Linked DNA regions of Oryctolagus cuniculus. The protein of the gene in region 1 interacts with the protein of each later gene in a biochemical or structural test. Links are inferred from orthologs where the notes say so. Each region holds a gene or a part of one and is shown in the gene's direction. Other genes may lie near its edges.

What was found. The genes of interacting proteins can lie anywhere in the genome.
Region 2: the proteins of EED (region 1) and PPP1R8 form a complex in vitro, tested with the Homo sapiens proteins (2 studies listed by BioGRID). The link is inferred for Oryctolagus cuniculus from reciprocal best matches to the Homo sapiens genes EED and PPP1R8.

What each region holds. Positions count from the first base shown.
Region 1 is NC_091432.1:77,386,699-77,390,980, forward strand, and holds the start of EED (polycomb protein EED), read left to right. Parts: upstream 1-1,469; 5' UTR 1,470-2,254; coding exon 2,255-2,368; intron 2,369-4,282. UniProt on the Homo sapiens protein: Polycomb group (PcG) protein. Component of the PRC2/EED-EZH2 complex, which methylates 'Lys-9' and 'Lys-27' of histone H3, leading to transcriptional repression of the affected target gene.
Region 2 is NC_091438.1:143,791,430-143,794,993, reverse strand, and holds part of PPP1R8 (nuclear inhibitor of protein phosphatase 1), read left to right. Parts: intron 1-1,777; coding exon 1,778-1,931; intron 1,932-3,172; coding exon 3,173-3,393; intron 3,394-3,564. UniProt on the Homo sapiens protein: Inhibitor subunit of the major nuclear protein phosphatase-1 (PP-1). It has RNA-binding activity but does not cleave RNA and may target PP-1 to RNA-associated substrates. May also be involved in pre-mRNA splicing.

The sequences.
Region 1 (4,282 bases):
CAACAGCAGCAACTCTTTGATTTTAAATCCCCACTTGTATTTGTTGTGTTTGGAGGAGCTGAGCCCAATTTCTCTCCCCTACAATCTTGGTCTCTTTCAAAATAGTCCTGAAGGAAGTATCAGAATAATTTATCTTTAACATTAGTTATAATGAATATGAACTAATTTCCATCATTCATCCATCCCAAACGTATCAGAACATATAAAAAATCCCTCCTAGTTTTAATAAGACTCTTTAAAAACATTTTTGCTTTGTTACAGATAACATGAGTGCTGAATATCTTTGGGTTATTTTCTTTTCATGTACCCTTTATCCAAATGGTCAGCACTTACTCCATGTTATGACTAGAAGCTGACTCCCACATCCCACTGGACCCACGCAGCAATCTGAAATGTGTTAGCTGATTATCCGTTCCTTGTAGAGTTATATTTCACAAACAGCTTTCTCAATAAAACAGAGTATCTGTCTTTGCCCAAAAAGGTGTCACACTGAAGCACATCTTACCTTTCTCATAGCTGACTCATCTGTCACATCTCTCCCCCACACCTGAGGAGTGCTTAGCAGTGCCTGGCACATTGAGAGTGTTCCACAAATACTGCAATTAGTAAGACCTGGACTTTTTCAGCGTCCATATTTTTCCTGAATCTTTATTGTAAATATGTCTTACTCTGCCCTCTCTTTGCTTCACTTTCCTTTTTTCATTCTCAACCAAGAATTCTCTGCTAACTTCAAAAGGAGGAATGACTTGCAATCTGCAGAGAGTAAAACAGATCTTCTCACTGTCAAATCATCTTGCAGAAGTAATTCAAGTATACTACAATTTTATGGCTGCGACACTAGACTGGTTATCCCTTGTGTCTTACGACGAGATCCAAAAGAGAAAACATATCAGGCAGGTGCTCAAGGTATGCTGGGTTCCTTCTCACTTCCACGCATTTACAGATGAGGACACTGAGGTCCAGAAATACCAGCACTCACAACTGTGTTCTAAAACAAAGGAGGCTGCGTTTCCTTCAGTTGTACGGCTTGATGACCCATCTGACAAATCAACAAGACTCACCAATGTATTCTGCACCTGTCAAGAGTGCAGATGTAAGTAACAGAAACTATTTTGGTGAAGTACTAAAATTGTATTGTTATTTGCCTGTCGCTTAAGTCTCACGGGTTCATAGTTGGAACTATCCACCGATTTATAGGCCTTTGAGTTTTTCAGGGCCTTGTTTAAAAAGAGCACTTGAGTTGTAGCTGTTCAAGGGTCTGTAATTTTAGCACACTTCTACTTAAACCTTAGCCAATATTGGCCACAACCGGTTGAGGTTAAAAAAATTATTGCAATAAATATTCATCAGACCAAACATCCGTCAAGAATTTAGGGTGCGTCCTGAGACGATGATTGGTAGCGCTTTGAAATCCATCCCTGGCTATGCACACGCAGTAGAAAACTACCAGGTTCAGCAAACAAGATTTCGAAAAGAGGAGGGGCCTGGAGGAGGAGGGACCCCCACAACCCAGCGCGAGAATACGCCTCGGCGCGTGCGCACCTCCAGGTGGGTGCCTTCCATTTGCCAGATGGGGGAAGCAAGTGCGACTCAGTCTACGGTTTTTAAATTCCCATCCTCAAGCAAAAGTTACGTTGGCATAATCTCGTGAATCTCGTGAAGTCGTCACCTCCCGAGTTCAGGTTTAAAGACTCTTGGCACGCAGAGCTTAAGCAAGAGGTGACTTAGCAAAGCTTCCCCCGTCCCCTGGGACACCGGTGGTCTACTCCATCCACAGACTTTCGCTCCCTTTGCAGCGAGTCGGAGATCGAAGGATTGGGCCAATTGCGGCTGAAACGTCTCTGGAAGGAGGAAGGGGGTGACGGAGCATCCCTTTTGAGTTCTGCCTGTTCTTTTCGAGGTGGTGGTGGGGACGGGAGACATACGAAATACTACCCTCTTAAGCCAACGGATCCTACATCTCCGTGCAAACTGCCGGGGGGGCGGCGGGAAAAGGGCAAAACGGGAGTCGGGAAAGGGAAGGAGCCAGAAAGCCGCGCAGGAGGGCGCGCGCGCGCGCCCCTTTTTCAGCAGTGTGGCGGGGTCGCACGCACGCCCGCCTCGGCGGCTGGGCGCGATTTGCGACACTGGGGGGAGCGGTGGAGGTGGCGGCGGCAGTGGCAACTTTGCGGCAAGCTCCGGACGGGCTTGCTTGACGGCGGTGTGGCGGAGGCCCCGCCCGAGGCGGCAGGAACCTGGGGGGAGGCGGAGGAATATGTCCGAGAGGGAAGTGTCGACAGCGCCGGCGGGAACAGACATGCCTGCGGCCAAGAAGCAGAAGCTGAGCAGCGACGAGAACAGCAACCCGGACCTCTCTGGAGACGAAAATGTGAGTGCGGCCCGGAGCAGCCACGGGACTCTGCGGAGTGGGAGTTTTTAGATTCTTTAAAAACTGCGGGTGCGGGATGGGGGGGCCGGCGCTGGGGCGGGGAGGGGGTAGAGCGAGAGGTGTCACCCCGTGCCCGGGATGGGGAGGGCGTGCGGGCGAAGTCGAACCTGTGTCTGGCGGGGATTTTGAGCCGCGGCCGAGAGCAGGCAGAAAGTTGGCCAAGGAGAGTGGCTTAAGTGAGAGCATGGGTCCGAGAGCTCTCCTCTGCCTGTGGGGAAGTGTTCGGGCCTTTGGGAGATAGAGGGAAGAGTGCGGGTCTGAGATTCCAGTAGTTTAAAAGGCGTGCTAGATTTTCTTTTTTTTTTTTCCCTAAGAGTGGGAAGGAGCGGGCAGTCGAGAACTCTTTCAAAGGAGTTCGGGCACTGTGTCGCTCTGACCCCTGTAGAATCTTCAGGATGCAAAGGGTAGATCTTTGAGTTAATGGAGTTTGAATGAGTGTTTAAGAGCGCCTGGTGTCTGCTCCCGTCCTGTGCGAATCCAATAATGAGAATCTAAAAAAAAAAAAAAATCTTGAACGTGTTTTAGAAAGCTGGTGCGAGCATTTCTCAGTTTGGCCTGCTTTAGGAATAAATGTTGTATCTCACACACGCTGTCCTTAAATTCCCCAGCGTGAATGCCTACTGAAGCGTGTTTATGGCATGGTGTCATGACCAGGATTTTCACGGAAACGGTGGGGGAAAGATTGCTTTCTGCAGAGAAGAAAGATTTCTTGGAGATTGTCAGCTTATGGGGTTTTGCACTTAAAATTTCTGGAAAGTTTGTCTGATATTACTTTAAATATATCTATATGTATATTTCTGTTTGTTCTCCCCAGTCTCACTACATAATTGGGTCTAACATTTTTTATCTTCATTCCAAGTCTTGAAGACCAAGTTTTATTTCTTCGTTTTCGTAAAATTCTGTCGGCAGATTAGGCTGCAGTTAGGAGCACAGACGCTGGATCCACATGTTAGGTTAAAATCCCCACTCTAACTGGTTGCTTGACCTTAAGCAAAGTATGTGACCTAGCTGCCTCAGTTTCTCATCTTTAAAATGGGTATAGAAGCTTTTTTTTTTAACTTTATGAGTTATTGTATTAAATGACGTAATATAGGTAAAGTGCTTAGAGGAGTACCTGCCCTATATCAAGTATTAAGCAAGTGTTATTTGTTTATAGTACTTATTTTGTGATCACCATAGTATGTTTCTTCTGGCTATTTCACATACTGACGAATCAAAATATGAAAATGTTAAATCTATTTAGGAGAATTTCAGGAGAAGAAGTCAATTGAAATCTTATTTTCTTTTTGCAGACCCTTAAGGAGAAATGCCAGTGTTCTTTGTTTCATTCTAAAGCTATTCAGATCCAAATGATTGGATTAGCCTTTGTTTGGGTTGCTCCATTTGGCTAGAAACTGTATGTGCCTTGGACCTTTTAATGAATCTTACGGAGCCTTCTCAGAATAACATTTTTAAATATATAAAATACAATATCTAAAGTTAGAATTTTGAAATTGTAAAGTGTGGCATAAAATATTTCTAAAATAAATTTTAAGTGTAGTAATATTAGCACTTTAAATAACAGGAACTAGCAACAGATCTGGTGGCAGTGATGAGTATAAGCAAGTTTTTCAATATCTGTAACCAATATAATGTGATTTCAAAATACCTGATTTCCATTGGTGAAAAAAATCATGTAACATTAGCACATATATTGTTTGTATTATATAATAAAAGGAAGTGCTAAATTTCAGTTAAGAGCTGTGAAAGTTAAAATGCAGTTTTTTGTGTGTGTGTTTTTATTTGAATTCACAGGCCCTCTCAATTCCATAAGGACTCATGATCTAGGACATAGTTAGGGAAGTCAGTAAGGGA
Region 2 (3,564 bases), on another chromosome or scaffold:
CACCTGTATGGGATGCTGGCATCATAGGCAGCAGCTTTACTCACTGTGCCACAGTGCCAGCCCTTCATGGAAGTTTTTTTTTTTTTATGTCTTTACTTGGGAAAATAAAACATTAACACATCTATGTCAGCCCCTTCTTACTCCACAATTTTTTGTAGTTTAGTTCTGTTTTTTTTTTTTTTTTTCCAGTGCCACAGTAGCAGCTGAGTTTTTAGAATTGTTCCAGGTCCAGGGCACTGTGTTTAGAATTATCAATTATCGTTGCAAGTCTGAGTTTAAACCCTAGCTGCCCTCCCACTTAACCAGCCAGGCCACCTTGAGTGACTGACTGCATCTCTCTGGCTCTGTTCTTTTCTCTTTAACAGTAGAGATGCTGCTTGCTTCATAGACTTGTTTTAAGGAGATAATGTTTCGAATGCCTAGCAATAGGCATCTTCATTAAACGTTACTTCCCATACCTTCCTTCAGTCTGGAAAGTCTGCCTCGTGCGGTGGTTCCATATTTGGACACAGTAAATGCTCATTTAGTGTTAACTCTGGATAATCTTTTTGTGGCAAAACTGAAATGGGACAATAAAGTTATATTCAGGAGTTCATGCAGTGTTGGCTAACATAATTCCAGTTCTTGCAGTGTTCCAAAAATACTTCGGAGCTATGACAGCATGATTAGAATATAGATAGATGTTTATACCTTATTCCTTTCCCAACCAAGTGATAGCCTTAATTTGAATATGTATTTTCTGAAAAGCAGTCTTATTGCTTTATAGATATGCTTTGTGCATCTTGTTTCCTGATAGACAAGGGTGGGTGCTTGGTGCAGTGATTAAGACACTGCTTGGGCTGCTGGCATCCCATTTCAGAGTGCCTAGGTTCAAGTCCTAGGTCTGCTTCTAATATCAGCTTCCTGCTAATTTGAACCCTGGGAGGCTGCAGGTGATAGCTCAAGCGGTTAGGTCTCTGCCACCCACATGGAAGACCTGGATTGAGTTTGTGGCTCCTGGCTTCAGCCTCAGCTACTGTGAGCATTTGGGGAGTGAACCAGTGGATGGAAAATCCCTCTCTCTATTTTTCAAATAAAAAATAAAGAAGTTTTAAAAAATTTTAAATTCAGATCTAATGAGACCTTAAATTTCCAGCAGATAGAAGCCAACCACTAGTAGAATTATTGCTTTCTTACGCCGGCGCCGCGGCTCACTGGACTGATCCTCCACCTTGTGGCGCCGGCACACCGGGTTCTAGTCCTGGTCGGGGCGCTGGATTCTGTCCCGGTTGCCCCTCTTCCAGGCCAGCTCTCTGCTGTGGCCAGGGAGTGCAGTGGAGGATGGCCCAGGTGCTTGGGCCCTGCACCCCATGGGAGACCAGGAGAAGTACCTGGCTCCTGCCATTGGATCAGCGCGATGCACCGGCGGCAGCCATTGGAGGGTGAACCAACGGCAAAGGAAGACCTTTCTCTCTGTCTGTCTCTCTCACTGTCCACTCTGCCTGTCAAAAATAAAATAAAAAAAATAAAAAAAAAAAATTATTGCTTTCTTGGGGACAGGCCACCTAAATCTGTTAGAATCAAGAAAAGTTATTTTCATACAGATGCTGGACAACTGAGCTGCATTTGAGGAGACTGGTTGACAACCCCCTGATGGATTAGGTCGGTCACTTACCCTGAGCTCTTCGTGGCGAAAGATTTTGTCTTATTCAAGATCCTCTTTATTTGTTTGGAGGTGTTTTTGGTTAACCCTGTTAAAACAAGATATAAGTAATATTTTAATTTAATATTTATTTAGAAACTGATTATTGATGAGAAGAAATATTACTTATTTGGGAGAAACCCTGATTTGTGTGACTTTACCATTGACCATCAGTCTTGCTCTCGGGTCCATGCTGCACTGGTCTACCACAAGCATCTGAAGAGAGTTTTCCTGATAGATCTCAATAGTAGTAAGTACCTTTTCCCATCTCACCTGTTCCCCTTGGCAGTGTGAAAATGCTCTTTGGGTTCTTTGGTTTGAAAAACATGTTTTATTGCTCACAAAGGAAAAGGTTTAAGTGTGTTTTTTAAAATCAGTCTTTGTCTATTCCTGTGATTCTCCTGTTTTCCTGAAATTAATGATGACTGACTGTGGAGAGCAGAGAGCTTTGAGGAGCACCTGCTTGAAGAGGCAGTAATAAGTATATATAGAGAAACAAAAAAGCTCCCAGCAACCAGGGCCGGTGGGTATTTAGATATTGATTGGACCGTGATGAATTATGGTCCAGTTTAAGCAGAAGCTAGTGTTAGCTCTGTTAGAATAGTAGAGCAGTGATGTAGGTAGGACATTTAAAAAATACTTTTTTTTGTGAGCAAAATTTAGTTATTTACAATAGGTATATTTGTTTTGCCAACAAATGATATAAATCTTAATTCTAGGAAGTTACTCCAAATAATAAGTTTTCAAATTTTGCTAAAAATAATCCATAGAAATTCAATTGCAGGTTGACTGCATGGAGTCCTAAAGTGTCTTCATGTGCCCTCTTTGACTCTTCCTCTGTCCCTACAAAACACACCACTTGTGTGCGTCATGAAGAACTTGGAGCCTTGCCTTACGAGTACTTACTTCATCTTTGCTTTTCATTTATAACATGCAAAGGTTTTGACAGCCTTGGCATTGGCAATGGGCCTATTGCAGCCAGTCTCCTTTCTTGTCCTGGGAAAAGCCCAAGCGTTAAACCCAGTTTCCACCAGACAAGCAGTTCCTATGTTCCTTAGACTTGGGGCTGGAGAGAGCAGACTACGGTGATGCGCGTGTCTCCTGTCTTGCAGGGGTTTACCTTCCGCTGGGTGGGAGCCACTGCTGTTGGACCCAGAATGGAGCCACGCCTATCTGGCAGCAGAGAGCAGGCAGTGGCATTTGTTACTTGGGGGGACAGCAGGTCTGAAGATGTGTGAGAAGTCCACTGAAAAGATTCAAGGCTCACTGTAACATAGGACAGAGGATGCAGTGGATCCAGTGCCATTTTCATTTTATAAAGCTTGTGTTTTCTCACCATAGTCCTGACTGTGGCATTTTTATGAACAAACAAACTGAACTGATGTGCTGGGAGGACTTGACCTAAGAGAGTTGAAGATGATGCGCTTCCCCCTAAAACTCGGGCTGTTTTTGGTTTCTCCCACCTTACATTTCTGATTTGGTTATTCCCAGCACACGGCACTTTCTTAGGTCACATTCGGTTGGAACCTCACAAGCCTCAGCAAATTCCCATCGATTCCACAGTCTCATTTGGCGCCTCCACAAGGGCATACACTCTGCGTGAAAAACCTCAGACATTGCCGTCGGCCGTGAAAGGAGATGAGAAGATGGGTGGAGAGGATGATGAGCTCAAGGGCTTGCTGGGGCTTCCAGAGGAGGAAACCGAGCTTGATGTAATTCCACGTCTATGTCGTTTTTGTTGTTGGGGACCCTGCTTTTACAGCCCGTGGCTGTTCTGTGCAGGTTGAAACACCAGTGCGTGAGCAGCAGCAGGTTCTCTTGAGTCCGGTAACGGGCCTTCAGCAGGGTGAGATGGCCAGCTGTGGAAAGAGCCACATTGTGCA